Coturnix japonica: one gene and its partners. The protein of the gene in region 3 interacts with the protein of the main gene of each other region in a pairwise test. Links are inferred from orthologs where the notes say so. Each region holds a gene or a part of one and is shown on either strand. Other genes may lie near its edges. The genes, in order: MED31, TRAFD1, HTT, DNAJA3, TANK, MKRN2 and WAC.

Region 1 (4,269 bases), on a different chromosome or scaffold from region 3:
AAGGTGCACTAGAACTGGAGTCTCCAGTATCTCTCCATTATTTTAGTCATTTAGTGCCTTACTCAAGTACCTGAAACAGTGAGCGCTGTACCTTTTCCATACACTGTAACTTAATACCTTCAGTAACTACAAGGCTAGAAAACAGGGAATCCAATAACAATATAAATACATACACGGAGCTGATTAAAATAACTTTTATAAATACTAGATTTCATTAAAACAAAAACTAATTAATTAAATAGCTCTTTCCAGAGCTCATTTGAAGTAAACAAAAAAAATTTCAATAACTGAGTTTAAACATTAATTAAAAAAATGAAAAAAAACGATTCTTTGTGTAGCTATCAACAGGGCAAAAATCACTCTCAGAATGTTCTTAATGGGCTGAAGTAGTTTTGTCCCGTGATGTTCAGTAATCTTGCTTTATGCAGATAGAAGGTGCAGATAAAGGTTGCAAATGGAAAATTCCATGCATATGTCAAGAATGAAACGTTCTTTAATTGTGCCTATCCCAGACTACAGGAAACAGGAAAATTTATACTGCATATAAACACAGTGCATGTTTTGGCTGCAGGGAGAAATCAAATATGCACATGCTACTTTACAGTGCATAAGAGAAGGTAAAAATCATTAAAATGCAGAAACCTGAGGGCTTTTAATACTTACTTCAAGTATTTTGCATATTCAGGTTCTTTCCAATACAGTAAATATTTAAGATAGTTTACAAAAGCTTTGTCTTTGAAGTATCCTCTTTGTGCAAGAACTGAAATAAGAGACAAGGAATTTTTTACAACTCAATAAAAAAAAAACACAAAGGGAAAAATATATCTTAAGTCAACACTCTAATACAAGTTAAGCATAGTGAGTTAGCATATAACTTTTATACAGCAACAAGGATGCGATGTCTTCAAAAATAGGAACTTCTGACATCAAAACTGTCAGGGAAAACCAAAGAAATTAAGAATTCCACCTGAAACTATTATAAGCATTAGTGAAATGTTGGTTTCAGATATGAGTACTTCTAAGATTGAAATGTAATTATTATTATTTATTTTCTACTACAGATGTGCACTTATTCTCCACCAGACAGTTGTGTTTTATTTCAAGAAATAATCATTTCACATTTTAAAGGTGTCATCTCCTCCCTCTTCTACCTCACCTTTGAAATTCGGACAAATTAAATTATCCTCAGACTACTTTTTTCCTTAAAGATCTCTTCCCTTTTCTTTGTTTACCCTTCGCCTCTGCACACACACACACACACACACACACACACACAGTTTACCATTACACGTAATCATTAAACTGTTAAATAACATTAACTTCTCAGGATCCCTGACATTAAGTACTCACAGTTGAGGTAATTGGGATTTGCTAGGCACTGAACAAACTCCAACTCCAACTGGAACCTAAGTCGATTTCCTGTATCATCTGAATACAAGAGAAAAAAAAAAAACAGTAAAAACTGGACTTACATGGCAGATTTAAAAGTAAGTTTCTCAACTTGAGCCACAAAAATAGAAACGTTTAGAGAGGAGATAAAGCACCAAGAGCCCACAAGTATGGGCTCATCTAGCAGTCTTTTCTATTACATGAATAAGTGTTGGGCCCATGTTAATACATGTACTATTGTTTGTTTGTTTTTTTAACAACTAAAAACGATGCAAATAATGGAGAAATGCTCTCTGACACTTTATGTAGAATATATGAAAAGGGAAGGGAAAGGGGCCTGCTTTTAGTGCAAGGAAAATATAAGAAGGCAAGAAAAGAACACTACCAGCAGCTCACTGAAAGCCTCCTTGCACATAATTTAAGAAATGCTTACCGTGAGGCTGCTTTTTGTTTTGTTTGTTTTGTACAGAGATGTCTCAGTTTAGTGAGAATCCTGCAGTGTTCTCACACTATTGGTGTACAGTAGGCACTGATGACAGACCCAGGGGTCAGCACAAGATTCTGCTGTCCTATGACAAAAGGGTGAGGGAGCTGGGCTTGCTCAGCCTGGAGAAGGCTCAGGGAGATCTCACTCTGGTCTTTCAGCGTGGAAAGGGAGCTTATAGAAAAATATGTTGACTTTCCACCCTGACTGAAAACAACAGAACAAGAAGGAACAGCTTTAAACTCAAACAATAGGAAACTCAGGTTAGATGTTAGGAAGAAATTCTTCTCCGAGGGGCGGTGAGGCCCCGGCACGGGCCGCCCCTCTCTGTGGGGGCCCCATCCCTGGAGCTGCACAAGGGAAGGCTGGAAGGGGCACCGCGCAGGCCGCTCTGGCGGGAGGTCCGATCTGTAAATAAAGTCCCCTCCATCCAAACACTCGGGGTCTATAAAAGATTCAGCTCCTCGACCACAGATGCAACGTGGGATGTCCGCTGCCATGGCGTCCGGGCAGGTAAGAGCCGCGGTGTCTCCATGAACGTCGCGAAGGGCCCCAACGGGGCCAACGGCCTGAGAAGGGCCAAGCCGGGAGGGCAGCGCAGCAGGACCGCCCCGGGCCCCTCCCGAGGAAAACGATTCGGAGCCTGTCGGCCCATCGCTCCCGAACCGCCCGAACTCTGCACGGCAGGACCACCGACGCTCTCCGTGGCCCGGAGTCGCTCGCCCTGCCCGAACCGCACCGCACCGCGCCGCTCACCTGCGTCCATGGCGGCGTGCTGGGCTCCGCTCCCCGCCCGGCCTCAAAATGGCGGCGGGAGCGCCCGCTGTCGGCAGGCGGGAGTTAGGCGGGAGGCGCAACGAGGCAAGATGGGAAGGTCTGTGGTGGTGAGGAGCTGCGTTAATGATGCGAGTTGTGTAGAAAATGACCTTTTGAAATAAACTAAAGTTGGAGCAACTTTTTTTCCCCTTGTCTTGAAAGAGAGCTGTTACCAGACAGGCAGTACGATTGGAAGGTACCTGTAGGAGCAATGTTCTGGGATGGATTTTTTCCTAGGCATGTGTGTGCTTTTCTTTCTTCCCTTTCCCCTTTTCCTTTTTCCCTTTTCCCTTTCCCTTTTTCCCTTTTCCCCTTTCCCGTTCCCTTTCCCCTTTCCCCCTGGCAGCTCATGCTGAGCTGATCTCACACAACCTCTGCAGTTTATTTATTAAGAAGTTATGTCGTAGTGAAACCAGTTAAACAGATGCGCCAGGGGTGCAGAACAGCACTATGCTATTGCACCTGGAGAAGAGTTCAGCACTTAGGTTGCAGATTTATTCCTAATGCTGCATTCATGTCTGGGGTCACACACTGGATGTTCATATCTTGGTTAAAACAAAGACTGGTGGGGTTTAGCACTGTCAAGCTACCTGAGTTCCATTGCTGCTATGATTGCATTATTAGGCACTTGTGTAACAGTTTGCACTATACAGGCTCAACACGAATCCTAATTCTTTTTTAAAATTTGTGATTTGTTAAACTATTTTCAGTGTCTCAGCATTTTCCTGTAGTGCTATCTCTTTCTATGTAGTGTAACTGTTCCCCTCCAGCCCCAATAGAAATTAGGCTATAAGACCACCTAAAAAAAGACTTCTGCATTGCTTTCCTTAATAAAATAATTTTGTGTTTTGTTTCTTTTTTCCCCAAGGTTTTAGTGGTTGTGGAGTACTACCATTACTATAACAGAATTAGCAGGTCACTCCCCAGTAAATACAGACTTTTGTCTAAAAGCAGAGATCAAACATATCCCACGCATTGGCAGTGCTATTCTGGAACACGATGTATCTCCCAAGACTGACTTCAGAGGAGAGAATCCTAAGAAAGGCTTGGTCACATGAATTAAATTACTACGTAGGTTTGCCAGAGTAAAGTGCAAGAACGCAATTCTTGGCCATCAAAACTAGGAACAAAATTGAAAGTTGGAGTCATATTACAAAAACTAAGAACATTCTCTAGGAAAAGCTGGATTTATTTATGCTTTTAAATATTAGCTTAGTCAGACTTTCAGGGAAGAGGTATTAAGCTGTGTGTTTGAGCCAAGAATTTTCCTTTTTATCATCATCAAATCATAACATCACTGCCTCAGTTTCACTTTTTATAGGAGCTGAACTGCTAACCCTATTCTCTGTTTGAGCACTGGTGCTGAACCCTTGTTTTCCTAATGCATTTTGAGAGCATGCTCATAGTAGATCTAGATATAAAACAGCCACTAGCTAACAAACAGATCAGATAAGGTTTTCTACCCAAAGCAAATAAAGCTATTCAGAGTTTAAAATTACACTCCAAAAAGGGACACTTTGCTGCAGTAGTAATTCTAGACAATAAAATCAATGTGAGATGTCCCTATAAATTATATATTT
Region 2 (3,500 bases), on a different chromosome or scaffold from region 3:
TCAGACCTATAGCTGTTGTACCCAATATTATGCAGATCATCATATTTTTGTGGATCCAGAGAACTCCTTTTACTGAAGGAAGCAAAGGCACTTGCTGGGTTACAACCTGTCTGTTAAGCAAGTAACATAGAAAAGTTAGCCATCTCATTTAGCACACAGGGGTTTTAAAAATAATGCTGAGCAAAGATAAAATTACTAGACTTTAACTGTATCACTGAGCAAACACTGCACCTTTGTTCGGTCACAGTAACAAACAGGTCTTAACTGCAAGCTCCTAGATACAATACAAAGAAGTACTAAACCTGATGAAGAATCAGATCTTCAGCAGGGTACAGCTCCTCACAAAACTCACACGGCAACATGATCTCATCACCTGCAAAGCAATAATGGTTATATCCTCTACCATATAGAGCCTGGCTTCATTTGGATCAACTTAGATTCAAAATTCCTAAGCAATAAATTCCTGTACTGTAGCACAGAACAGCAACCAAAGCAAATGCAAAGGAAATAGTTACTGTAGTCCCACTTGTTGAGTTTTCTGAGTAAATCCATATCACCCAGAGACAGAAAAGTGTTTTGGGGTCAAATATATGATACAAAAGCCTACTACTGCCCCCACATAAATCCCTTCATACTATTTTCCCTTTCAAATTAATTTGGCACCTCAGGTCTCTCACAGGTGTTGAGAATAAACATGATAGGAAGGCAGCAAGAAAGCCTGTTGTTATGAATCCCTTAGCACTGATGGGCACAGGCACCTATTTTGCTTCTAAAGGTACACCAGTGTTTTCACTTAGAACTGAAGGCCTGGAGTAATATCAGTGCTTGTCCTTGCATTGTTCTGAACTGTTATGAGTTGAAAAGAATTTCTGGATGAACATATCAAGGTCAGAGCTCCACTACACCTTTTAGTTCTTCCTCCCCTTCTGTCTTGCTTTACTTCTGTTCAAAGAAGTATTACTGTTTTTGAGGGGACAGAAGATAACTTTTAAGAAAGAAATGGCATGCTTAATCTCCTACTATTAATTATTTAACAATTATTTAGAGGGAGTCTCAAAGAGCTTCACTTTGATCTACTTAGATGATCTTTGACAGTCTGCATCCAAGAATCCTCTTTCTCTCTCAGACTTAATAAGACAGCATTTATACTTACGTTTCAAGTGGTTTGAAGTGTTCAAAGACAATAAAGAGTCATAAGGAAAGGTATTTGAGTTGTCTGTTTCATTGGGGCAGGAAGATGGCACAGATTCTTTGGCATAGTGGTTTTCCCAGACGTCCCTGTGAATCTCTGCCGCAGAATTATTGCGAGGATTATTCTCATTCTGAAGGCTAAGAGCCAACATGTGGTCTAAATTGGCATTCTGCTCTTCATAAAGTGAGTTAGTGTTTTTATTTCTCTCCAGCTGCTCCAGTCCATACTCTTCAAAAGATGAATATAAATTTTAGGTAACGTTAAACCTGCAACAATTACTTAAGCAAATTAGTCTAGTTCAACCAAGAGGGTTTCACGTGCGGACACTCATGGAGTTCAGTATTTCACAGCCTAGGACACTTCCTGTATCAAATTAGAAGGAAAACAGTCATCCTGCTTCTGTTTGTAACAACCAAAAAGAGGAGAAAGAAGAACAGAAAATGTTGTTCCGCTTACACAAACATTATGAAGTTAAGGAGAGAAGTTCTGTATCCTACCTTGTGAACAAGGCTCAATTCTAACACGCATCTACTACTTTCTGTGAGGCTGGAACTTTTCAACCTTGTCTCTTTAATGTGTGAGTGGAAAAACAAATTCCTTTTAATGATACTACATTTGACAAATGGGTATTATACACATACAGAAGAAAATGATGAAATGTTTCCTCGTCGTAGAGTTATACATAAAAACAAGCAATCAACAACAAAAAACCCACCACATTTCAGAACAGGGCCCAAGACTGAACTGATGATGTCTAGTGGAAGGCTGAGCTCCTCCCCCATGCTGGCATGTTTCAAATATCTCCAGCATTTTATTCATCTTGATTATATCAGAAATTCAAGAAAACTTAATACACATATGAAAATCTTACTAGAAGATAATTTAGAACTCAGTACAAGTGGACAAGTTATAGTCCTCCAAGCATTTAGCTTCATTAACTAACCCCAAAAGTTATTTCTGCAAGCCAGGCAGTCTTCTATGGCAAAGACTGCAGTGTAGTACTTTCCAGTGTTAAACCCTCTGAGTAGCCCACAGCAGAAAGCAGAGCACACGTTCAGCAGAGAGCTCATGGAAAGGGCATGTCTTAAATGTGACATGACCCTCTGCACATGGAGGTGGGAGATTAGAGGCTTATGAGCAAGCAGAGGCATTTATAACAGTCTCAGCTATGTCCAGACAGGCTGTTATTGCAGAAATGCTCAGCACTTCATATGTGAACCACATACAGATCTTACCTAGCCTTCTACTTAAAGGAAGAGTGGAGCTGCTAAATAAAAATCAAAAGGATTTAAAGTGAGCAAACAATTCCAGCATCATTTTAAAGTTAGGTACTTCTTGAGGTGAAAGCCCAGTGCATTGCCTGTGCTGTCATCTCACCAGCTACCTCAAAAGTCCTCCATTTAGGAGGCTTATACTTTTGCAGCTTTGTTCCACAACAAAATAGTGCCACACTCATTGCCTCCACAACTTTTCTTACTTAGTATCACATAAATCTTTTACTTGGATCACCTGGCAAATGGCAGATTAAAAACAAGTTATTACTTTCATCTATACCTTACCTTGATTTTGATTTCTCTGTGTTCTTGAAACATTTCTTCTTCTAATGTCCTTAAGTGTTTTGTCTCCTACAGAGTCGCTATAGATCTGCCTTTCTAGTGCCCTGGGCATTCTCCACAAAGGCACAGCACAGTTATCTGATCTTAACTGGTTTCTAATGTCTCGAAGGGCATGCAAACCTGCATCCTCTGCCTCAAAGCGAGGCACTGTTTTGCTTACTCGCTTCACCTCTTTCCCACAGACTTGGGGATGCTCTTTTAGATCTTTTACCATTACGTTAAGGCCACAACCACTACACATCTCAGTCCTAGCTCCACAGTAACTTTCATGATCCTGAAGCTTATTGAAAGTAAGCTGGATGTCACAATGCTGGCAGACTGCAGGACGCAAAGGGCACGCTGATGTCTAAAAAAAGAAGGAGGGATTATTCTTAACATATGGAAGACGGAGGCAAAGGTAAATGGAGGTTCTCACTTTACTTGAGTTGAGCTTGCTATTGTTTCTTTAGCTAGATACAAAGCTGCACTGAAGAGCAGCCTGAAATAAAATACTATACAAGAAATAAAAGAATGATACACTGTATCACCTGTGTAGTCAGAAAGCTGTCAGCTGAAGCACTACCAACATTCAAAACATTCCCTTTAAACCTGCAATGCTTTAACAGCAGCTTCACATAGTGCTTTTTAAAGTTAATTTTTAAGAAACATTCTTCACAACCACATTTAAGTACTGCTTAAAGACTTATTAGTGC
Region 3 (3,976 bases):
AACTCCAACCAAAATTCAGGAGTCCAAAAAAGCAAAAAAACAGAGATGGAAGACAAGAAGGTGCCTCAGCAGAAGCTTGTAGAAGCAAAATGATGACAGAGAGCTCAATCTGAGCATTCATAGAAGGCCAAACCAACCACAGAAAGAGAGGAGGCCATAACCTGACATGCCTGTAACACACACTAAAACCACAATAAGTGATTACTGCTGATTAAAACCTTGAGGAAAGGAGAGAAAAGAACCCTCACATTACCAATGTTTGAATTCAATCAATACCTTAATAATAAATGTAAAACCAGGATATTATTTTATCAAGATCTCAAAATTCATTGTCACGATGACATTTGTGCAAACAATTCCCATCTCTAAGCTCCAGCCTCCGTGATCTTAAAATATTACACATCAGGAGAGAGTAGTTTGTTAGCATACAGCACTGCTAAATATTTAAGGGTTATCTGTGCAGGATCACAATTAAGATGAACGCTGGTCCCTATGTGCAAAGAACACAAGAAGGCATTTCTCTTTTCTAACCCATCGGATGGAAAACACAACCAACACCAGGAGTTCAGCTCAAGATGTCACCTGGTATTTCACTAACAATTCAGGAAACTCCAACGAAGATTGGCACAATATCGTTTCATAGGCTTTTATGGAGCTCAGTGCCCTTTCTGAATTGGTAAAGCTCCTGGGGGCATGCAATACTATCAGCTTTCTGAAAACAACCAGTCTATTTTTAAACAGGAAAAAACAAAGTCAACTAGGACAATTACAAGCTTGATTTTTTAGCGCTTTGATTCTGGTATGACTAAATGCAAACCCCCAAATCAACCATAACATCCCCCTGCAAGCATCACAAATTATTTTCAAGCCTTTCTTTTCAAATAAGATGATCTATCCTAGCAATATCTGCTTAGATTTTCTTCTGCTATGCACAGTAAAGACTGGAAATAGACGTCCACCTATTCTCCATGCCATGCAAAATCATAGTACAATCAAAAAATAAAAGAGCAATTAGTCCCTGTAAACACTGAGGTATATGAAAACAATTGGCTTATGAAGAAAATAAGGTTTTTCATCTGTTGTGTCCCCAAGAGTATCAATGACACAATGAAAGTGTTTGAGGTGAGAGTGTCCAAGCAGTATGAACCGTGGCAAATCCAGCTGGCATCTGTCTCAAACCGTACTGTGGGAGCAGGTGGCCAAGAGCCCAGCTTCCATTGTGGATCAGCTCTGCCAAAAGCACCTGAAACTGTCAATTTTGAAGCTACCTGCTCCTCAGCCCTTGTGTTCCTCCTGTCTCCCTCGTGTCTGGAGAAACAGCAACAGTGTGACTCACTTACCGAGTGCACTAAAGTCCTTAGTGCCTTTTCACCTGCTCAATAAAAGTTATTTTTAGAGAAAGCAAAGCCGACAGGCAGCACTGGGGCACTGAACAGCTCCTTGGCCTCCAGCAAAGCTGCAGGTTCCCTGACTTGAAACCAGAGCATTGCGCAGATAGGAACAAACATCTTTTCAGTGCCTCCAACCCTAATATCTAAGGACACAAAGAGATAGCAGAAACATTTGTGTTATTTCCTCTTGGAGCTCAAAACACGTGACAACGCAAGACTTCAAGCAAAGCCTGCCATAAGCAGTTATCTACATCCATTCCTTAAAGACAGACAAATCCTAGATTTTAAGCTAAACTTAAGATCTTTTCACAGAATCACAGAATGACCCGGGTTGGAAGGGACCTCAAGGATCATGTAGTTCCAACCCCCCTGCCTGGCAGGGCCACCAAACATACACCTTTACTACATCAGGTTGCCCAGGGCCCCGTCCAACCTGGCCTTGAACACCTCCAAGGACGGGGCATCCACAACCTCCCTGGGCAGCCTGTTCCAGGGCCTAACCACTCTCCTAGTGAAGAACTTCCCCCTAACATCCAACCTAAATCTTCCTTCTTTTAACTTCAAACCATTTCCCCGTGTCCTGCTATTATCAGCCTTTTCGAAGAGTTTACTCCCCTCCTGGGAGTAAGTTCCCTTCAGGTATTGAAAGGCTGCAATGAGGTCACCCCGCAACCTTCTCCAGGCTGAACAAACCCAACTCCCTCAGCCTGTCCTCATAGGGGAGGTGCTCCAGCCCCCTGATCATCTTCCTGTCCCTCCTCTGGACCCTTTCCAAAATCTCCATGTCTTTTTTGTACTGAGGGCTCCACACCTGGACACAGTACAACAGATGGGGCCTCACAAGAGCCGAGTAGAGAGGGACAATCACCTCCCTATCCCTGCTGACCACCCCTCTCCTCATGGAGCCCAGGATCCCATTTGCTTTCCTGGCTGCCAGAGCGCACTGCTGGCTCATGTTGAGTCAAACAAGGCTTAAGTTCACAAGGCTGCAGCGTTTACAAACCTTCACCCAGAGACCTGCAGCCACCTCAACAGCCACAAACACAGGCGGCACCTCCGGACTCGTCCGCCCGCTGCCACAACCCCACGTCCCGCTCCGCTCACTCACGGTCTCAGCGTCGGCTCCTCGGGGATGACGGCCGGCACCTGCTGCTGCTGGAAGGATCGCAGCGACTCGAAGGCCTTCATCAGCTTCTCCATGGTGGCCATCGCCGCTCCGGCCCGCCCTCTCACAGGCGAGCGCCCTCGTCCTTCCTCCCGCTCCCGACTCTCCGCCTGTCCCTCCTCTCCCCCTCACACCCTCCTCACAGGCCGCCTGGCGCCTCACAGCCGAGCCGAGCCGGGGAGCCGCCGTTCGGGGCCGCGATCTCCGCCCCGCTGCCCCGCCGCCATCTTGGGGTTGGCCCAGCAGCCCCCGCGCTCCTGCCTGGGTTGCTCCGCCCAGCACGGGTTGGGCGCCCGCTGGCGGCACTAAGGGCGCCTCAGCCTCCATCCATCCATCCCCTCACAGCCCTTATCGCGCTGAGCTGATGCCAAGCGCTACCGGCACTAAGGCGTTATTTTGGGCTGTGAGGAAAAAGGGGAAACACTTACAGGAACCAGCACTTAGTGCTTGGCAGGGGACCCGCTGGCCGCTCAGCATCAGCCTCGTGATGCTGGACCTGCTTTTGCCCTCTTAAAGCACATATAAAACATACCTATTTAAAGGCTGCTTCTCTCAGAGACAGCGGAATTCAAGTATTAAGATCTTTTTTTAACTAAAAATAATGGATTGAAGTACAACCTCTGCTTTAATGTACCTATAGCTGCTGAGACAACAGAATCAGCAATCATTTCTATTTCAACAACTTGTAATTTTAATTGTTTTCATGACAACTTTACCTACCCCGGCTACCGTGAAAGAGCTGCTAAACAAAGCACATAAGACAATAATAGGTGTGTTTGAGAGATGTGGCAGTGTTCTGCTTTTATTTCAAGAGTAACAATGGTAGAACATCCAGGAAAACAGCTCATACAACAATTAACTCGAGTGGTTCTGGAGCTAACACATTTAACAGTCAACATGGCTATAAATGGAAGGAACTGTGGTGGTTTGGACGTATGTGGAGCATGAGGAAAGTTACCTGTATGTGGATTCATGAGGTACACACAAGCAGACATTAAGACTTACAGAAACAAATGTTTGGAAACAAAAGCCACAAAGAAGGATTGATCTCATTGAAACAGCTCCACAGAACTGATAGATCTTCCTGTATCTCACACCAACAGAACAAAGCAGTTGGGCTGCTGGATTGTCTCGCTGCTATTAAAATCATGTAACAGAGCTAGGATCTGAATTCACAGAGGTGAAATGAAGGCATTCTGAACAGGAAACTCTATTTCTAATTATAGCTTCATCGAAATAAAAGTCTACATCAGCAGTAAATACAACCTGCTGCCATCTCTCATCTGCATCCTATGAAAAATCATGAACAAAATTCATATTATGTTTCTCATACCACAGTGCTTTGCTTTCATCTCCTTACCCTTTGCACACTTCTCCAAGTGAAATCTCCAAGCTAGTAATATTAGTCACTTTAAATTAT
Region 4 (3,307 bases), on a different chromosome or scaffold from region 3:
GTATATCTGGGACAACCAGAGATGTGACCAAAAAATTACACCAAAAAAATTAGAATCTGTGGAAGTGCTGAGAGGAACCGTGTGGAGCTGCAATAGAACGTCATAGGGCACAACTCAAGGAATGAATTCCTTGGCTGACCAGCACAGCATAAGCTGTCCAAAGAAGATTCAACACAGATCTTGATAAAGCAGTGAGAAATCCTCATAAAATCTTCCTGAGCAAGATTTTATTGCAAGAAGCTTCAGATCTCACAGAAATCCATATTACTTACTGAGGAACTTTTATCTTCACGTGAATGTAGTGGTCTCCGTAGCCGTAACTGTTAACCTTGGGAATGCCTTTCCCACTAATTCGAATTCTCTGGTCTGGCTGAATACCAGGTGGTATCTGTGAACACAGAGGTGTCACGTTCATTGTTCCATTGCATGCATGTATGTAGTTAGCACATGTTTATAACAAGTATTTCACTAATGAGATTCAAAATAAGATGGCAGATCTGGTATAATTGTGCAGCTGGACACGCTCAGGGGTGAAGTCAATACTGATGGAAAAGCTTTTTCAGGACAGAGTAAAAGAAACTAGCACAGTGTAGTAGATGTTGGATGGGATGTGTCCAGCAATCCATCCAGCCCCTCCTTCCCATGTCCCCACACAGTGAGCTGTAAAGCAGGTGTGACCAAGGCAGGTCACAAACTACCTGACATTCAATCCTTAGTGAGTCTGAAACCTGATCCAGATGGACTCAGAAGGCTCTGATGTCCCACACTGATTTATGCCAGAGCTCTTCCACGTAACGTTACTTACTGTGATATTGATTGTCTCATACAAGCCTTGACACCTGGCTGTCCCTCCCAGCACAGCCTGTGCTACCGAAATAAGGAGCTCTGAATGGATATCTGCTCCATTTCTTCTGAACACTGAGCTTTTTTGAACCTAGAAGGTAGGTAGTTCCACAAAACAGAAAGCAGAACAATACAAAGTGAACAAGGTAAGGTAAGCTACTTTGAAAGATCTCAGCAGAAAACATAGAAGAAAGCAGTAGTCATGTTCTTTACCGTCCATGGTAATGACTAGTTTAGCTTAATGTTCAGTCTTTTAGAACAGCACAGATCATTACGTAACTGTAATTAGCCAGAGATTTAGGAGTACGTCTGCTTATCTAAGCAACTCCCCCCCACTAATCCTGTTTGTTAGTTCATTACAGTCAGTGCAATACTGCAGACAAAGATGACACTGTCTTGTCCAGGGCCCTGAAAAAGGGAAAGCCAGAGGAGGAGGGCAAGAACTTTAGTAGCAGCTTTGAAAACTGGAAGAGAATTAAATTCTCCTGCAGCACAAAGGTAATGGAAAAAGGTTCTCATTGACAGAGGTGCATATTGTTACCTGCAGGAGAAGAGGGCCCCAGCTACAAAGAATGTGCAAAGCAGCACTTAATGCAAGTCTGCAAAAGGACACTTGACCAGCCTCGTGTGCACATTCCTGCAGCCCTCCTGGGCGCAGAAAGCTTCTTCAAATCTCCACATCAAACTCTCAAGGCATCGAGAACCTGCTCTGTATTTTGATGCACACGACCATAAAGGCCTCATCCTGGAATGAGCAGCACAGCTCCAGAGGAGCAGACTGAATGTTACAATGCAGACCTTCTGCAGGCTCATGAGGATCACGTTACCTCAGCTGTTTCAAAGGATCACTTGCTCTTTCTCCTGCCATCCCCCATTCAGACTTCCCACAGTTGTGAAGGGAATAAATAACAGCCTTAGTAGCAGGAAGAGCTTGTGCTGTAACAATACATACCCGGAAGGTAATGAAAATTTCCTTCTTGCCTACAGGCATCCGAACAGTCTGCCCATCCTCAACACCTGCATTAGGAAGAGGGGGGGAAAAAACAAAGGGAAGTTATCTTGTATTGTGATCCATGTGCTACTGGAATTCGTACAGCTCTTCTGCTCGCATCCCTCCCCATCCCACCTCAGCAGCACCTGAGCAGCACAAGACCTGCCAGTGAAAAGCAGAGCAAACCCCAGTCCAGGAGGTGCAGCAGCACACAGCTGTGCCTCAGAGGTGACTGCTGCTGCCGAGCAGAGGGGCACCCCTACACAGCTTCACAACCTCAATCCCTACACAATTCATCCAGGAAATGCATCAGACTGAGCCACGCTGGGCAGCCTCTACAAACTACTGGGAAACCACCAGCTGCCACCCAAGGCAGCCTCGAGGCATCAAGTCTTCAGTCCCACTGCTCCTGTTTTTGCTTTTTCCCTCTGCTGACAAAAGCAAACAGCAAACTCTTCTGAGCTAAGCTCAGGCTTGCAAGATTCCCATCCCCACCAATTTCATCAAGAGCAATGAGAAATACAAGCTGACAAAACCTTTGCAAAGCTTAAATCTTCAAAACTTGTCTAGAAGGATCCACTCAAGAACCAGAACTTCAGCTCCAAAAGGGACAAACATTTTTACCTACTATGTATAAATGCATGGTCAGAAGGTTTCTCATTGTGCACACTTTCAGTGACCAAGTTATCAGCCTGCTTTATTCTTAGGATAACTTCTCCAAAGTAAAACAACTTTACATTGCTTTGACACCCACAGCTGGCAGAGAAAGCCTCGCTTTATAGGTAAGCGCCTTGCTGTCAGCCTAGTGGAAATAACTACGGTCACTGTAACAGAGAGCAGCACACAAACACAACACTAACCAGCCGGCACAGGAACTATCACTGTCTTCTTCTGTTTGGTTTGCCCCGTTCCTCGACATACCACACATGGTGTTGTTATGATGGAAGCACGACCTCCACATCTTCGGCACGTAGATCGCATTACAAAGGGGCCAGTGTTTATTGTTTCCTAGTGAAGAAAACAGGTCGTACAAATGATCACACAAACATTTGCTATCAAGATGGTACTTCTCACTTTCACACCACCGACAGTGATTGACCAAGAATATTTGGGCTCTCTGAAGCTTGATTATTTCTTTACTTACTCTAAGTAGCACGTAACTTCTCATTCAGTGGTTACCCTAAAGTTATCCTTGTCTTCCTCCTCTCCCCAACCCTCAATTCAAAGTATTCTACTTAAGTCCCAAGTAATTTCAGAATTGTTATATCACACACAGTCCCAGATGACCTTGTCCTGCTTTTAGCTTGACAGAGCACATTTCCAAATATTCAACATCAAGTCCACGTTAACCTGGCTTCACTCAAGAAGCTGATGATGTTATTAAGAAACTGTGGAAGGGTGACTTGTGCCAAGAAATACAAGTACAGCAGAACCTGTCTCTTAAGAAAGACTTACCATGCCAGTGCCATTGCA
Region 5 (3,500 bases), on a different chromosome or scaffold from region 3:
TTATCCAGAAATTTGTTTGAACTAAGCCAATATTACTTTAGAATTGATTAAATATCCATCTCTTTCTCTCTCACAACATCCATCACCTATAATTAGATGCCTACAAAAAAGTTCTTAAAGTACTTTTCCTAGTGAATGGGACTTGGTTCCAATTCCTAATGAACTGGATTTACAGATAATATATGTGTAGATTAAAACAGTAGGGTTTTATTCATGTTACTTGCATACATGTCTTCTTATTGTATTTTCTTATTGTATTAAATTTAAAACAAAAAAAAAACAAAAACAACAACAACAAAAAAACAAAACTGTGAATAACTTGTTCCTGGGATTTTTACAGCATTTTTAGGGAGTTGTTCCAGTTCCATCATCCCTGCCACTGGTAAATCTCCATCAGGGAGCAATGAGATACCTGACTGTTTTTTTACTAGTGCAGATAAAACTTTCAAGTATTTACTACATATGTTAACTTATAAAATGGAAAACCCCATAAATGCAGTAGATTTGGCAACAGTAAGTTCTTGGAACTGCTCTCAGTTGCTGTAATAAATTTAGCTCTTTCCTTCTTTGTGGATACTAAATGTGAAAACTCAGTACTGTTTTCTTCGGGTGTAACTTAAAAAAAAAAAAAAAAGAAAATGACTGAAAAGAGCAGCAGATTAAAATAAGCACGGATATATGGATATTAGTGGACCTGGGGTTTTACAGACTACTGTTAATTGAAACTTGCACGGAGATGCATTATGTTTACCAGTATTCACAATTTGCGGGGGTTGTTTCAGCCAAAAGCATCTCTAAGAATGTTCATGATTTGAAATCAAGTCAGTAGTCTATTGATCGTAATCTAGGTCTTGTTTTAGAAATGAAACAGCTGCTTAAATGAATCTCTGCTCTGAAGAGCATTTTAAACAACACTCAGAGGAAAAAATTAAAGTTAAGTGCTTGCTTCAGCATTTTGCTGGATTCTTTCTATGTGGTGGTTCCAAGGCTGGAAATCTTACTGTGTCCTATTATTTTTACAATAATATTTTTAATGACCATTTACATAATTTGGTATTAAAAAACAGTAATTTTAAACACATTCCTGGAGGGATGTTTGAGTGTGTCTATGTCTAGAAAAAATTAATGTGCAATTTACACCAGCAATGTACAGTAAGTGGGCTCTTTTAGCTGAAAAGAAGTGGTGTGATTGCACTTAATTACTAATTAGCCAATTTAATTATATGGATTGCTGACCATAATGAAAGATGGTAAATCTGCTACCACTGTCTGATAAGCTAAACACTGTTTAAATATGGAGAGCATGAGGAATTGACTCCAGGAAGTTGCAGCTGGTTTAAATACAGGGATTAACCACTGTGAAAGCCACGTTCATTGTACAGTGAGTTACCATGGCGGGGGGGGATACAACAGATTCTAAGTATTTGACATGATAAATGTGTGAAAATTAAAACTCTTGGATTAGAATGGATAGCTAGAACTTCAGAATTTCATAAGAAACTACTTTCTAAAGTATTCTTACTTGCGTTTCCACATGTGATTTAAGCAATAGAGAAGAAAGATGAGCTAAAAAACTGGATGGTGCTCTCCTTTTCTAGGTTCCAGCCCTATGTAGATCTGATAGCAACTAGCTGCCATTCTGTCCGCTCTGCAGTCACAGCAGTATGCATTTGTTTTTCAGTTTATTCAAAACCTAATTTTCCTGGCCTTGTAATATAACTATGTATTTTATCTTGGGTTTGTTGCTAATGTTGAAGTAGCAAAACTTAATTTTTGACTTTGCTTTGATGAATTTCTTAATCCTGGGTATTATCAAGCCATATAACTGGCGTACGCTCAGGCTCATGTCCCCATGGTCTTCAAACAGACTTGCTGGCTTTCAACTGGCTCACTCAGGTAGCAAGAGCAGCAGCAGCTGCTGAAGCAATTTTAGCATAGCTTGCAGACTTGCCTGAGTGTATGGATGAATATTCCAATGGCCCTATTGAGTTCATTGCTGTCATGGAAGAAAGAATCCCAACACTGAGACTACCTGAGACATGCTTACACTAAAAGGCAGTCAGAGCAATTAAGTAACTTTGACCATGTGACATTGCTGTAGTTGTTTTGCAGTTAAACTGAAAATTAGATGTGTACCAATAAGAATAGAAATATTTCATATAACCTTTGTACAATAAATAATTATTTTAAGGTTAAAAACAATGGTACTAAAGATTTATGTACTAAGGCTTCTACAGTAAATATATATATATATATATATATATACGATGTTAAAGAAATGAATTTATGTCATACTGATATTACAGAACTCTGTTCATGGCATCATTTATCATTAATAGATATCAAAATATCAAGTACTTGCAAAGGTAGTATGTTTAGGAGAGTAAAAAAAATGTATATATTGCCTTTTTTAAGTGAGAATTTTCTCCAGTTAATGCCTCTGCCAGGCTTACGTTAAGTAAACCTAATATAAAGAGGGAGGTATATTTTTAATATAAATATGTACCACAGCATAATGTAATTCACATCATAAACCACAGCAGTAATCATTTTCTGTTTCTTTTAGCTCATTTGGCAGCCTCGGGACAATGATTTGCTGGCACAAACTTATACAGACTCTGAACTGAATCAGCGTGGAGTATGTGAATTCTGTCGAGAAGTTTTCCCACCATCTCTAACATCTAAGGAAGATTTTCTTCGGCATCTGAATTCCCACTTTAAAGTACAGTCTTAACATATGAGAATTCAGCGGGTCACTGTTTTTGCATCCATTTGGGTTTTTTATTATTGTTGAATAGATTTGCTAAGAATTTAAGAATTGAGACTTCTTGTAACAAGAACTAACTGAAATTATCAGATAAGCACATTTTTTTCATTGTCATTTGATGAGGTGAAATGCAACCGTAAGTCAGTACTGTAATTCACTTTACTGCTTGTCATGCTTCAATATTGCCATTGGGATTGTAGTTAAAAGCTTTTTTTTTCCCCCAGCTGATCTTTGCCTGAATAGGCTTGAAGTCATGATTATATTTATCAGGACAGATTTGCAGGATTAAGCCTTTAATCTGGGACAGAAATTGGTGTACAGCTAGGATTTCTTCTCAATATCCACTGATACAATTCTCTAATTGAAGGAATCGGGAAAGAGGGGTAGGCTCTCATTTTTAGTTTCTATTATAAGATTTGTTATAAAAAATAACAATTGTGTTGATGTATCTTTCCAGCATTAATTATTAGTTAAACTACTTTCATGCAAAATATTAATATGAAGGATGGAGTAAGAAAAGGCTAAAGTGTCCCTAAAGGTAAGAATACCAAAGATGGAAAAGTTTACCTTTCTTTCTAGTCTGCTATGAAGGATTGTTCAAATCTGTTATGGCTTAGACAAGCAAGGGGAAAACCTAATCACAGAAGTCTCAGTGACTTCAGTTCTAACCTGAATATGCAGAATGGTTTTCTCAATGCAGTTTAAATGCATTTAGTCAAAACGTTGCATTTTG
Region 6 (4,233 bases), on a different chromosome or scaffold from region 3:
TATCCCTAAGTCCCATCTAATTCAGGGTCCAGTATGGATGCTGCACTCAGGATGTTACTCTGTTTATCAGTAAGGCCTCAGTCATCAGACTCTAAGTTTTACCCTAGATAAGGAACTGGTTTCTTATGATGGGCTTCCCTACAGCAGTTCTCACACCGTACTCAGTGATGTACCAATTCCTTTTACAGCACTACAACTGAGACCTCCCGTCGGCTACAAAAGACATCTTCCTAAAAGAGTCCTAGAGTATTTGGGAAGAAGGCAAGTTTCCCATAAGAAAGGGGAAGTCACTGTAAAGTGCTGTCAGCATCAATGTTACCACTGGGGCCCTGGATGCTTGTCATTCCACAGATAGACAAACTACAACAAAACACACCTTTCTATTTTTAAAAAATAAACCAAATGTAGCACTAAGCACACGCATCTCACACTGATTTCATGTTAACATTACCATCTCATGAGCCTTCCTCTGTTCTTGGTCAAAAGGGTGAAGCACTTGCAGCCCGCATATTTCACACACGTCCCCGTGCAGGTAAAGGCAGCGCTCCCCGAAGTGACACGCTCCTGCTGCAGCGTAAGGACACAGCTGCTCTCCATCACCAAAGGAACTTCCAGCTACTGGATCTTCCAGCCCACTGCAAATAGCTTCCAAATACGAATGAGGCTTCATTTCCACATTATCACTTTTGTCACTGCAACACACCACATCATTTGCGGCACTGGCTTTTTCCTTCTCTTCATTCAAGCCACACAGATCTTAAGAAAGAAAAATGTAATATTAACAACACACCACAAAACCTACATAAGATGCTCCCTATATTTTCTTTTCAATTAATACCAGTTTTTAGCTTTACAAATGTCTCCTAAATCAAATCTTCTCAGCCCTAAGCCTCTTTCACTCCTATGTTACAAGATCTCCAGCACCTCTTTCCCACTGTCCTTGAACTCAAGTTAAAAAAAAAACATGAAAAATGACCCAGAACCAGAGGACAACATCAAGGATAAGCACAGTCGCCTCCTACTCACTTCTGTCCCTGAGCACAAGCGTTTTCTTCTCCCGTTTGCCACTCTCCCGCAGCTTGCTCTTGGTTGCAGGTGTGCTGTGCTCAGGTGCAGGGCGAGGGCTGAGCAGCGCTGCTGATGCCATAGCAGGAGGCACAGGAGCTGCTGCACCCCCAGAGGCAGGGAGCCTGATGTGGTCGTACCTGTAAGAAGCACAGTAAGCGCTGGAAAAGCTCAGCTCAGGGCACAGTGGAAGGACGGCTACTTTGAATGTATTTATTTACACAAAGGGTTGTTTTAATGAGTTGTCTGAAATGTTCAGTCTCTTTCAAAGCCAGACTGAAAGACTTCTCAGACTCAGCAAAATGAAAGCATGTCAAGATCTTCCTCTTTAGAGAGGCCTATCACAGCTGAAAGAGCATCATTCACGTGCACATTAGATCAGGTCTTTGTCATCCTCACGCAAAGAGCTTTGTTGACATTTCTCTGAGAAGCAAAATTAAAAAGCCGTGCAGTAAGGATTGATGTGATCTCATTCTCCCTGTCCAAGCAGGGACATAAAAACTTCCTGCTCCCATACCACCATGATGTCGTGTCTGCACACAGGACAGGAAAGGTTCCAAATGACTATGGAAACATGCTCTCAGCAGCAGAACAGAAGCTACCAGTACAGTACAAAGTTTCTCTTGCAAAGCCACAAACATCAGCAGCCCATCCGCATCCAGAGCCCTCAGCTGTCCCAACACTGCTGGAGCAGCACATCAGCACTCTGCAGCTGCATACAGTGTTAATTCCATCTGAGCAACCTATGAGAGCTGCAGAACTCTAAGTGCAGCTGGATGCAGGTCTGACAGCACAGGCAGAGCCCAGGGAAGGAACATAATGCAGAACTGCAGCCACACGACACCCTGACACCTCTGGCTGCTGCTGAGTGCCACAGACACAGGACTCCATCTGCCCCAGCTCTGCAGCACACTGCTGATGGCACACAGCATTTACCAGAGCACCTGTGCAGGAGTTTGAACCAAAAGGCTGTAGCATAAGGCATGGAACCATTGCCCACAGAGCTGAGAGGAGCACAAAGAACACCCGCTTCACTTTAAGACAGAACTCTAACTCCTCTAACCTCAGCACCGGGATGTGCAGGAACAAAAGCAGCAAAGCACTGCTGGAACACTACTGTGCCTTGTACAGCCCATAGCACACCTCACAGCCTGGCACTGCCACATGGCATTCTGCTTTTAGCACCCAACGCTCCTCAGACGAGGTGAAAGCACATAAAACCCGATGCCTCTTTTCCACAGGACAAGGCCCAGTCAAACCATAACACTATGCCCATGTACGCTGGCTTCAGGAGGGGCAGCAAAGCTCGCTGCTGATTTATTACTCTGTCGTTTTGCCACTCAAACACCTCATCTCTCCTCGAGCTTCGCGTCCCCCCAGCTCCTCAGAGCACACGGCCCGGCTCTCACCTGCAGCGGGCTCCATAGGCGCACTGTCCCTTCTGGTAGTACTTGCAGATGGTGGAGGACTTGCTGCTGGACAGGTCGTGCGAGAACAGACACTTGTTCCCCTCCCGGCACACCCCCTGCACGTAGTACCTGTGGAGAAGCACCCGGTATAAATGGCTCCTCTCTGGGAGGCGCCTTCCCGCGCACAGCGCCGCCCCACACGGCCCATCCCGGCCCCCCGCATGTTGTTCTCCCGGGACCCCCCGCCGGTTCGGCCCGTCCGTGTCGGATCGGTCCCGGCCGTGCCCGGCGCTCACCCACCTGCACGTCACCTGCCTGGTGCTCATCCTCGCTCCGTTCTCCCCGCCCGGCCGGTTCCGCTGCGCCGCGGGGAAGGGGCGGGGCCGACACGGCCACAATTACCCGACGCTCCGCACCACAGAGACGCCGCACGGCGGGATAGAGCGTCGGCCATGGAGGCGGCCGCCATCCTGTACGTGCGGCACTGCGCCGCCGCCATCTTCTGCCGCCGCGTTCCCCCGCTGTGCCCCGTGTGCGGCCGCCCCCTGCGCGATGCCGGGCTGCTCAGCGCCCCCGTGAGCCTCCAATGTCCCTTCGTGCACGGACACCGGCAGCACCGCGCCTTCCTGCTGCGGCCCACGGCCGGCAGCTTCCTGCGGTACGGGACGGGACGGGGCTGAACAGCGGGACGCGCACGGCTCGTGTGTCACGGGCCATGTTTCTCTTTCAGAGAATACGACGGGAACTCGGATCTGCACGTGGGAATATCCAGCGCTCGGGGTAAAACGCATTGAATATGGCTGACAACCTGCTGGCAATGCTGCCTCACACACACAGTGCTGCACACACAGCATCACAGAATGACCCGGGTTGGAAGGGACCACAAGGATCATGTAGTTCCAACCCCCCTGCCCGGCAGGGCCAAGTAACACAGCAGTAAGAGCTGGGAGCTGCTGCCTGCAGGAGCACATAGATATCAACACCCACATCAACACCCACATCAACACCCACGTCCCATTAGTGAGCTTGCCTTGCAGACATCCGCACGCTGAGCGAGTCACAGCCATGTGCTGCTCTTCTCCCAGTTCCACTCAGTGCTGAGGAGCTGCACAGGACAGAGCTGACAGGTGACCTGTATTCGTGACAAACAAATAACAGCCAGGCAGCAAACAGTTTGGCTTATTAAACTGATATTGCTAATTCTGAAGTCATCCCTAACTAAAACAAGCAAGCAAACACTACGTTAGCAGTCATTACAGGTTCCCAGAGCACAGCAGCCCATCAAATGGATGTTTCGAGTGAGATACTGCATTAATAGAAAAGTGGTTTGAATAGGAAGTGTCAAAAAGAAACCTGGCAGTCCTTGTTAAGAGATCGGAAATTACCCTGTAACAATGACAACAGTTCTTTGATACAAGTAAACATTGCACTTCCTGCTCTAGCTCTAGGCCTCTGAGGGGAAGCTATGGCCTAGTTAAAAGAGTGGCATTAAGAAAAAGACCAGTAGCTTTCAACACTTAAAAATGCACACGAATCCATTTCCTCTGTACTACCTGCCAACCTGTTGCTCTTTATTTCCAGGAGTGGTGTATCATTACAATGAAGAGGGCGTTCACAGAGATGAAAGCGGATGGGAGCAGTGCATTAGTGTCCCACTAGTACAGCCAGACATGTTTGAGCTTCTTCAGCAGTGGGATCAAATCCTGGAGGAATTTTCTATGGGAGAGGAGTGGCTTCCTCACAGGTATGTAGCTGAACA
Region 7 (4,268 bases), on a different chromosome or scaffold from region 3:
GCACCATAAATGTACACGCGGTATGGAACTAATATGTTCTAAAGGACACAAAGATATTATATTTGTTACTTTAATAAGTAACAATACTGCAGTGATAAATACACCTGTACATCCCAGGCTGTTTACTTTATAGAGAACTTTTCCTGGTGCTTCTTTGTCTCAAGTTCTGTCCCTGAATACTTTATAACCCAATACAAAGAACAAATAGAATACTTACAAAACAGACTTCCAAACCCAGTAACAAACTTTTTAAACCTCCAGCTGTTACTCTCCTTTACCAAAAGGAAAACTCTACTCTTAGGCGTTTTTAGGAGGTAGAAATAGAAAATAACACCAGCTTAAAACTTCTGAGCACACTATTATCATCTGAATTACACTGTAAAAAGATAGGAGGCTACCTGACTAAGCTTCTGCCAGGAGATATTGTACTAAGTGCTATCTTTGATTTTAACATTGTTAGTTTACAGCAACCAGATCTAAAGCTATTTTTTATCATTCTCAGAGTGTAGCCCAGGAAGCACATACCTACATTACAGAAATACTAAATTATTTTTACTAAAATAGCAACTTAAACCTTTAAGATTGTCAATCTCTAGAACTCTAGAATATGGTTTTATCTTATTGAACGTTGCAGTATGCAGAACTCTCATACCTGTAAAAATAAGACAGCTAACAGGTGTTACAATGCCTGCTTCCAAGCAAACATGGCTTTTGGTTTCACAGCAGTCTTCCGAGCATCAAAGAACATCGCTCAACGCAATGCTCCCTTCACCTGAGTGACAACTGTTTAATTTTATGAGGAAACAGTAATCGCTTAAAGAAAGGTTAATTAAAGACAACTCACCACCATCCCTCTCTCTAACTCTGTGAGTATGCACACTTTTTGCTTTACTGTGCCCTGTGTTGTCACTGTATTTGTTTTCAGGGCTATCAGAGCGCCGCAACATTTTATTTGGTGGTGAAGGATCTGTGGTGTCTCGCATCTTGTCATGACGATGATCACCACCACTTGGGTGACTCTTGGATGAGTACTTAAGAGCCTGAAAAAGATCACAAGAAAACAGGCATTTTCATCAGATATAGATACAGAAAGAACATTTTAACATCAGTCATAAATTTCAGATCTTTCTTCTAAAACACTTTTTGAAGTAATTAATTTTTATTTCCCATTTAAATAACCACTATTCATCCTCTTAGTTTTAATTACCTACATTAGAGCAACAAGTTCTGTAATTAGGACTGAAACCATTTGCTCTCACCACGACATCCAACATAACATTTGCTGTTAAGATAAGCCTAATTTCTTCCTATTTTCTCAGTGAAGGACTGCATACTTTAAACGGTAAGTGGGGCACAAAACCTCTGACACTCAAAACAAGCACAAGTGCAGCTGGTACTAAAGAAATAAAGAGACAGTTATATTGAAACAGAGTGAACTGTAAATATCCATACTGTAATGGAGGCCACTTCCTTTTGCATCAACGTTAAGCTTCTGCAGATAGACTTCAGTACTAGCAAGCCCATAACAGATACAATAAAAATCTAGAATTTGGGGGGGTATTTAAGAGGGCAGAACATAATGTGACAATTCATTTTGGAACATTTACCAAAACTAACAAGTTATGTCTCTTTTTGATCTGCTTGATTTTGCAGAGCGAGCTCATGAGTGGCAAGTGTTTTATATTACATGAACTGTCACTGACAGCTGCCTCGGACCATCAGATGACACTTCACAGTGATAGAAACACTCAGAAATGTAATAAAATGGTTTAGTTAAATGCCCTAAGAAGAGCAGTATCCCTACACACAGCGTTCCCCAGACTCACACCCTCCTTAAGGTATAATTTTATTTTTCTTATTTTTATTCTTTCGTATTTCTCATAGGCATTAGACTACGGGACTCATCATACTTAAATTGAAGTTACTGTCAAAAGCCAGAGGATCTGATGTTTTTGAACACCCCCAGCAGCTGGCAACTGTAGAGACTGGCAACTGTGGAGACGAAGCCCTACTGACAACCCCAGTTCAGGGTCTAAAATCATGCCCTGCTCAGGTTACAGCCCGCAGCAGCAGTTTTGGGGAGAAGGGCCTCGGGGAGGGGGGCGGGGGGCGAACAAGCCGCCTTTTGTTTTTAGGAGGACAACGTTCCCCTTCCCCCGGCTCTCGGCTCCTCCGCCCGTGACCCGGCCGCGCTCTCCCGCCCCTGTGCTCGCACCTCCCGTCTGCTAGGCCCCGGCCCCGCGCTAGGCCTCTCCTACCGGCCCGGCCATCGCAGCGGCGCGGCGGCTCCGTTCCCCCGGCTGCGGGCCGGAGCCTGTTCCCTTCCCCACCTCTCGGGCCTTACAAGGCACCGCGGGCCGGGCGGGAGCCGCGCGGGGCAGCGCGGCCTGCGGCGGCGGCCGAAGCCTGGGCTGGAGTAGCTCCCCCCCCACCTTCCCTGCCCTGCTCCTCCTCCTCCCGGGCCCGGCGGCCGGCGCGGCGGTACCTGGTAGGGCTGCGAGTCCCCCCTGCGGTCGTGACAGCTGCGGAGAAGGCGAGAGAAAGAGAGAGAGAGGCGTTAGTGAGGGCCGTTACCGGGCGCCGGGAAGGGGCCCAAACATGGCGGAGGCGGGGGGAGAGCCGCGGGGCCGAGGAGGGGATTTACCCATCACTGAGTCTCTGCTGTTTCCTCGCATACATTACCATCAATGCCCGGCCTGTGTGTGTGAGTGTGAGGGGACCAGGAAGGGACGGCCGCGGCCGGGCCTACGGGCGCCGAGGGGGGAGGAGGGGAGCGGCGCTCCGCCTCGCCGCCGACCGGGGGCAGGGAGGGGGCAGGGAGGGAGGGGGCGGCTCGGCAGCTGTGCTGGGAGCGGCGCTCACGGGCCCATCTCCGCCGCGCGCAGCCTGAGGGGAGACGCCGGCAGCTCGGCCCCGCTGAGGCGCTCCGGGAGCGCGGACTCCGTCGCTGCCGCCGCTGCCGCCTCCTCCCCCCGCTGCGCCCGCCGCCGCCGTCGCCGCTCCTCCAACTACATCCGGGAAACTCGGGCGACGCCGCGCTCGGTTAACGTCGGCTCTTTTCGGCTCTTTCCGACGCGCTCCGTCCCCTCTGTCCCCTTTGCTCTCGGGCGACTCTGCCTTCGGCAAACATCGGCAGTCTCCGCCGAGCCCAACGCCCTTCAGTCTCTCCCTTCGGCAAACATCGGCTCGTTCCGTAGCTCTCCCCCCCCCTCCGGCCGGCCCGCCTCGTCCTCCACTCCCGAACGCTACCTGTCTTCGGAAAACATCGGTTATTTCCGTAGAGAGGCTTTCACGCTCTCGTCGGGGTGACGCCGCCTTCGGAACCGTTCGGCTATTTCCGTGACCTGCGCGGCCGTTGGCGGGGCGCGGCCGATTGGCCGAGGGGAGCGAGCGGGGGCGGCAGCGGCAGGCAGGTGGGGGCGATGGGGGGGGACCGCGAAAGGAGCCGAGGTGGTGCGGGGGGGATAGGAAAGGGAAGGTCTCCCCTCACTCACCTCCCCCCTCCCCTTCCGCCCGGCGCCTTGATGTATAGGCAGGAGCCATTTTGTGTACGTTGGGTTCGGCGAGAGGCGCTCGGTAGGGAGTGGTTGTTAAAATGTCCCTGGGGAAGCGGCTGGCCGGGCCGCGTCCCTCCTTCCCTCTCAGCTCCCCCTGAGGCGATGGCGGAGCTCGGGCCGCCTCACGCGTGGAGGGAGCGGGTGAGCGGGACGGGCAGCGCTGCCCTGAGGAGCTGGGAGTGATCCAGCCCTGCTGGGTTGGATGGGCCCACGGGCAGCATGAGCTGCTGGGTGGGTGCTCTGCCCACGGCATGGTGTTGGGACTGATAGCCTTGAAGGGCCCCAAACCATGCAATGATACAGAGCCTGAATCTTGTCCTGCCTCCTTAATGAAAAGGGAAGTGACAAGCCCCCCTCAGAACTGGCCTGTAGCAGTACATCTTTCCCCACAATGCTGTGTTTAAACATAGCATCACACTATAACTATAGTTTTTCTCTCTGTTCTTGTTTTTGTGTTAACGTGCAGAAGGCTGCAGCTGAGAGGACACCTCAGGAAGCTCACGGACAGACAGGAGCAGAGGATGACCCAGCAGGGAGCTGTTCTTCAGGGTTACAACAATGAGCTCGTTAAGTGTATTGAAGACTTGTGTATGCAAAAAGAGGAGCTGAACAAACAGATCCAGCAAGCAGAAGAGGAGAAAAGCAGACTCCAGCATGAAATTCAAACCCTCAATGAACAGTTGGAGGGGGTGTGTGAAAACCTGGCTCAGA

What was found.
Region 1: the proteins of HTT (region 3) and MED31 interact in binary tests that used the Homo sapiens proteins (3 or more experiments, as listed by UniProt). The link is inferred for Coturnix japonica from reciprocal best matches to the Homo sapiens genes HTT and MED31.
Region 2: the proteins of HTT (region 3) and TRAFD1 interact in binary tests that used the Homo sapiens proteins (3 or more experiments, as listed by UniProt). The link is inferred for Coturnix japonica from reciprocal best matches to the Homo sapiens genes HTT and TRAFD1.
Region 4: the proteins of HTT (region 3) and DNAJA3 interact in binary tests that used the Homo sapiens proteins (3 or more experiments, as listed by UniProt). The link is inferred for Coturnix japonica from reciprocal best matches to the Homo sapiens genes HTT and DNAJA3.
Region 5: the proteins of HTT (region 3) and TANK interact in binary tests that used the Homo sapiens proteins (3 or more experiments, as listed by UniProt). The link is inferred for Coturnix japonica from reciprocal best matches to the Homo sapiens genes HTT and TANK.
Region 6: the proteins of HTT (region 3) and MKRN2 interact in binary tests that used the Homo sapiens proteins (3 or more experiments, as listed by UniProt). The link is inferred for Coturnix japonica from reciprocal best matches to the Homo sapiens genes HTT and MKRN2.
Region 7: the proteins of HTT (region 3) and WAC interact in binary tests that used the Homo sapiens proteins (3 or more experiments, as listed by UniProt). The link is inferred for Coturnix japonica from reciprocal best matches to the Homo sapiens genes HTT and WAC.

What each region holds. Positions count from the first base shown.
Region 1 is NC_029534.1:8,576,323-8,580,591, reverse strand, and holds the start of MED31 (mediator of RNA polymerase II transcription subunit 31), read right to left. Parts: upstream 2,801-4,269; 5' UTR 2,640-2,800; coding exon 2,630-2,639; intron 1,429-2,629; coding exon 1,351-1,428; intron 761-1,350; coding exon 664-760; intron 1-663. UniProt on the Homo sapiens protein: Component of the Mediator complex, a coactivator involved in the regulated transcription of nearly all RNA polymerase II-dependent genes.
Region 2 is NC_029530.1:5,458,046-5,461,545, reverse strand, and holds part of TRAFD1 (TRAF-type zinc finger domain-containing protein 1), read right to left. Parts: intron 3,155-3,500; coding exon 2,752-3,154; intron 1,421-2,751; coding exon 1,154-1,420; intron 374-1,153; coding exon 303-373; intron 111-302; coding exon 1-110. UniProt on the Homo sapiens protein: Negative feedback regulator that controls excessive innate immune responses. Regulates both Toll-like receptor 4 (TLR4) and DDX58/RIG1-like helicases (RLH) pathways.
Region 3 is NC_029519.1:74,630,080-74,634,055, forward strand, and holds the start of HTT (huntingtin), read right to left. Parts: upstream 2,801-3,976; 5' UTR 2,601-2,800; coding exon 2,500-2,600; intron 1-2,499.
Region 4 is NC_029529.1:11,215,033-11,218,339, reverse strand, and holds part of DNAJA3 (dnaJ homolog subfamily A member 3, mitochondrial), read right to left. Parts: coding exon 3,290-3,307; intron 2,843-3,289; coding exon 2,695-2,842; intron 1,861-2,694; coding exon 1,796-1,860; intron 935-1,795; coding exon 806-934; intron 389-805; coding exon 273-388; intron 1-272. UniProt on the Homo sapiens protein: Modulates apoptotic signal transduction or effector structures within the mitochondrial matrix. Affect cytochrome C release from the mitochondria and caspase 3 activation, but not caspase 8 activation.
Region 5 is NC_029522.1:25,234,229-25,237,728, forward strand, and holds part of TANK (TRAF family member-associated NF-kappa-B activator), read left to right. Parts: intron 1-2,566; coding exon 2,567-2,734; 3' UTR 2,735-3,500.
Region 6 is NC_029527.1:3,307,016-3,311,248, reverse strand, and holds the start of MKRN2 (probable E3 ubiquitin-protein ligase makorin-2), read right to left. Parts: upstream 2,801-4,233; coding exon 2,775-2,800; coding exon of another isoform or gene 2,696-2,774; exon of another isoform or gene 2,681-2,695; intron 2,604-2,680; coding exon 2,475-2,603; intron 1,206-2,474; coding exon 1,027-1,205; intron 757-1,026; coding exon 452-756; intron 1-451. Other genes in the region: MKRN2OS (MKRN2 opposite strand protein), read left to right, coding at 2,696-3,132, 3,205-3,254, 4,056-4,218. UniProt on the Homo sapiens protein: E3 ubiquitin ligase catalyzing the covalent attachment of ubiquitin moieties onto substrate proteins.
Region 7 is NC_029517.1:13,929,218-13,933,485, forward strand, and holds the start of WAC (WW domain-containing adapter protein with coiled-coil), read right to left. Parts: upstream 2,801-4,268; 5' UTR 2,705-2,800; coding exon of another isoform or gene 2,688-2,704; 5' UTR 2,686-2,687; coding exon 2,645-2,685; exon of another isoform or gene 2,639-2,644; intron 2,523-2,638; coding exon 2,486-2,522; exon of another isoform or gene 2,405-2,485; intron 1,041-2,404; coding exon 845-1,040; intron 1-844. Other genes in the region: Sjoegren syndrome nuclear autoantigen 1 homolog, read left to right, coding at 2,688-2,704, 4,024-4,268.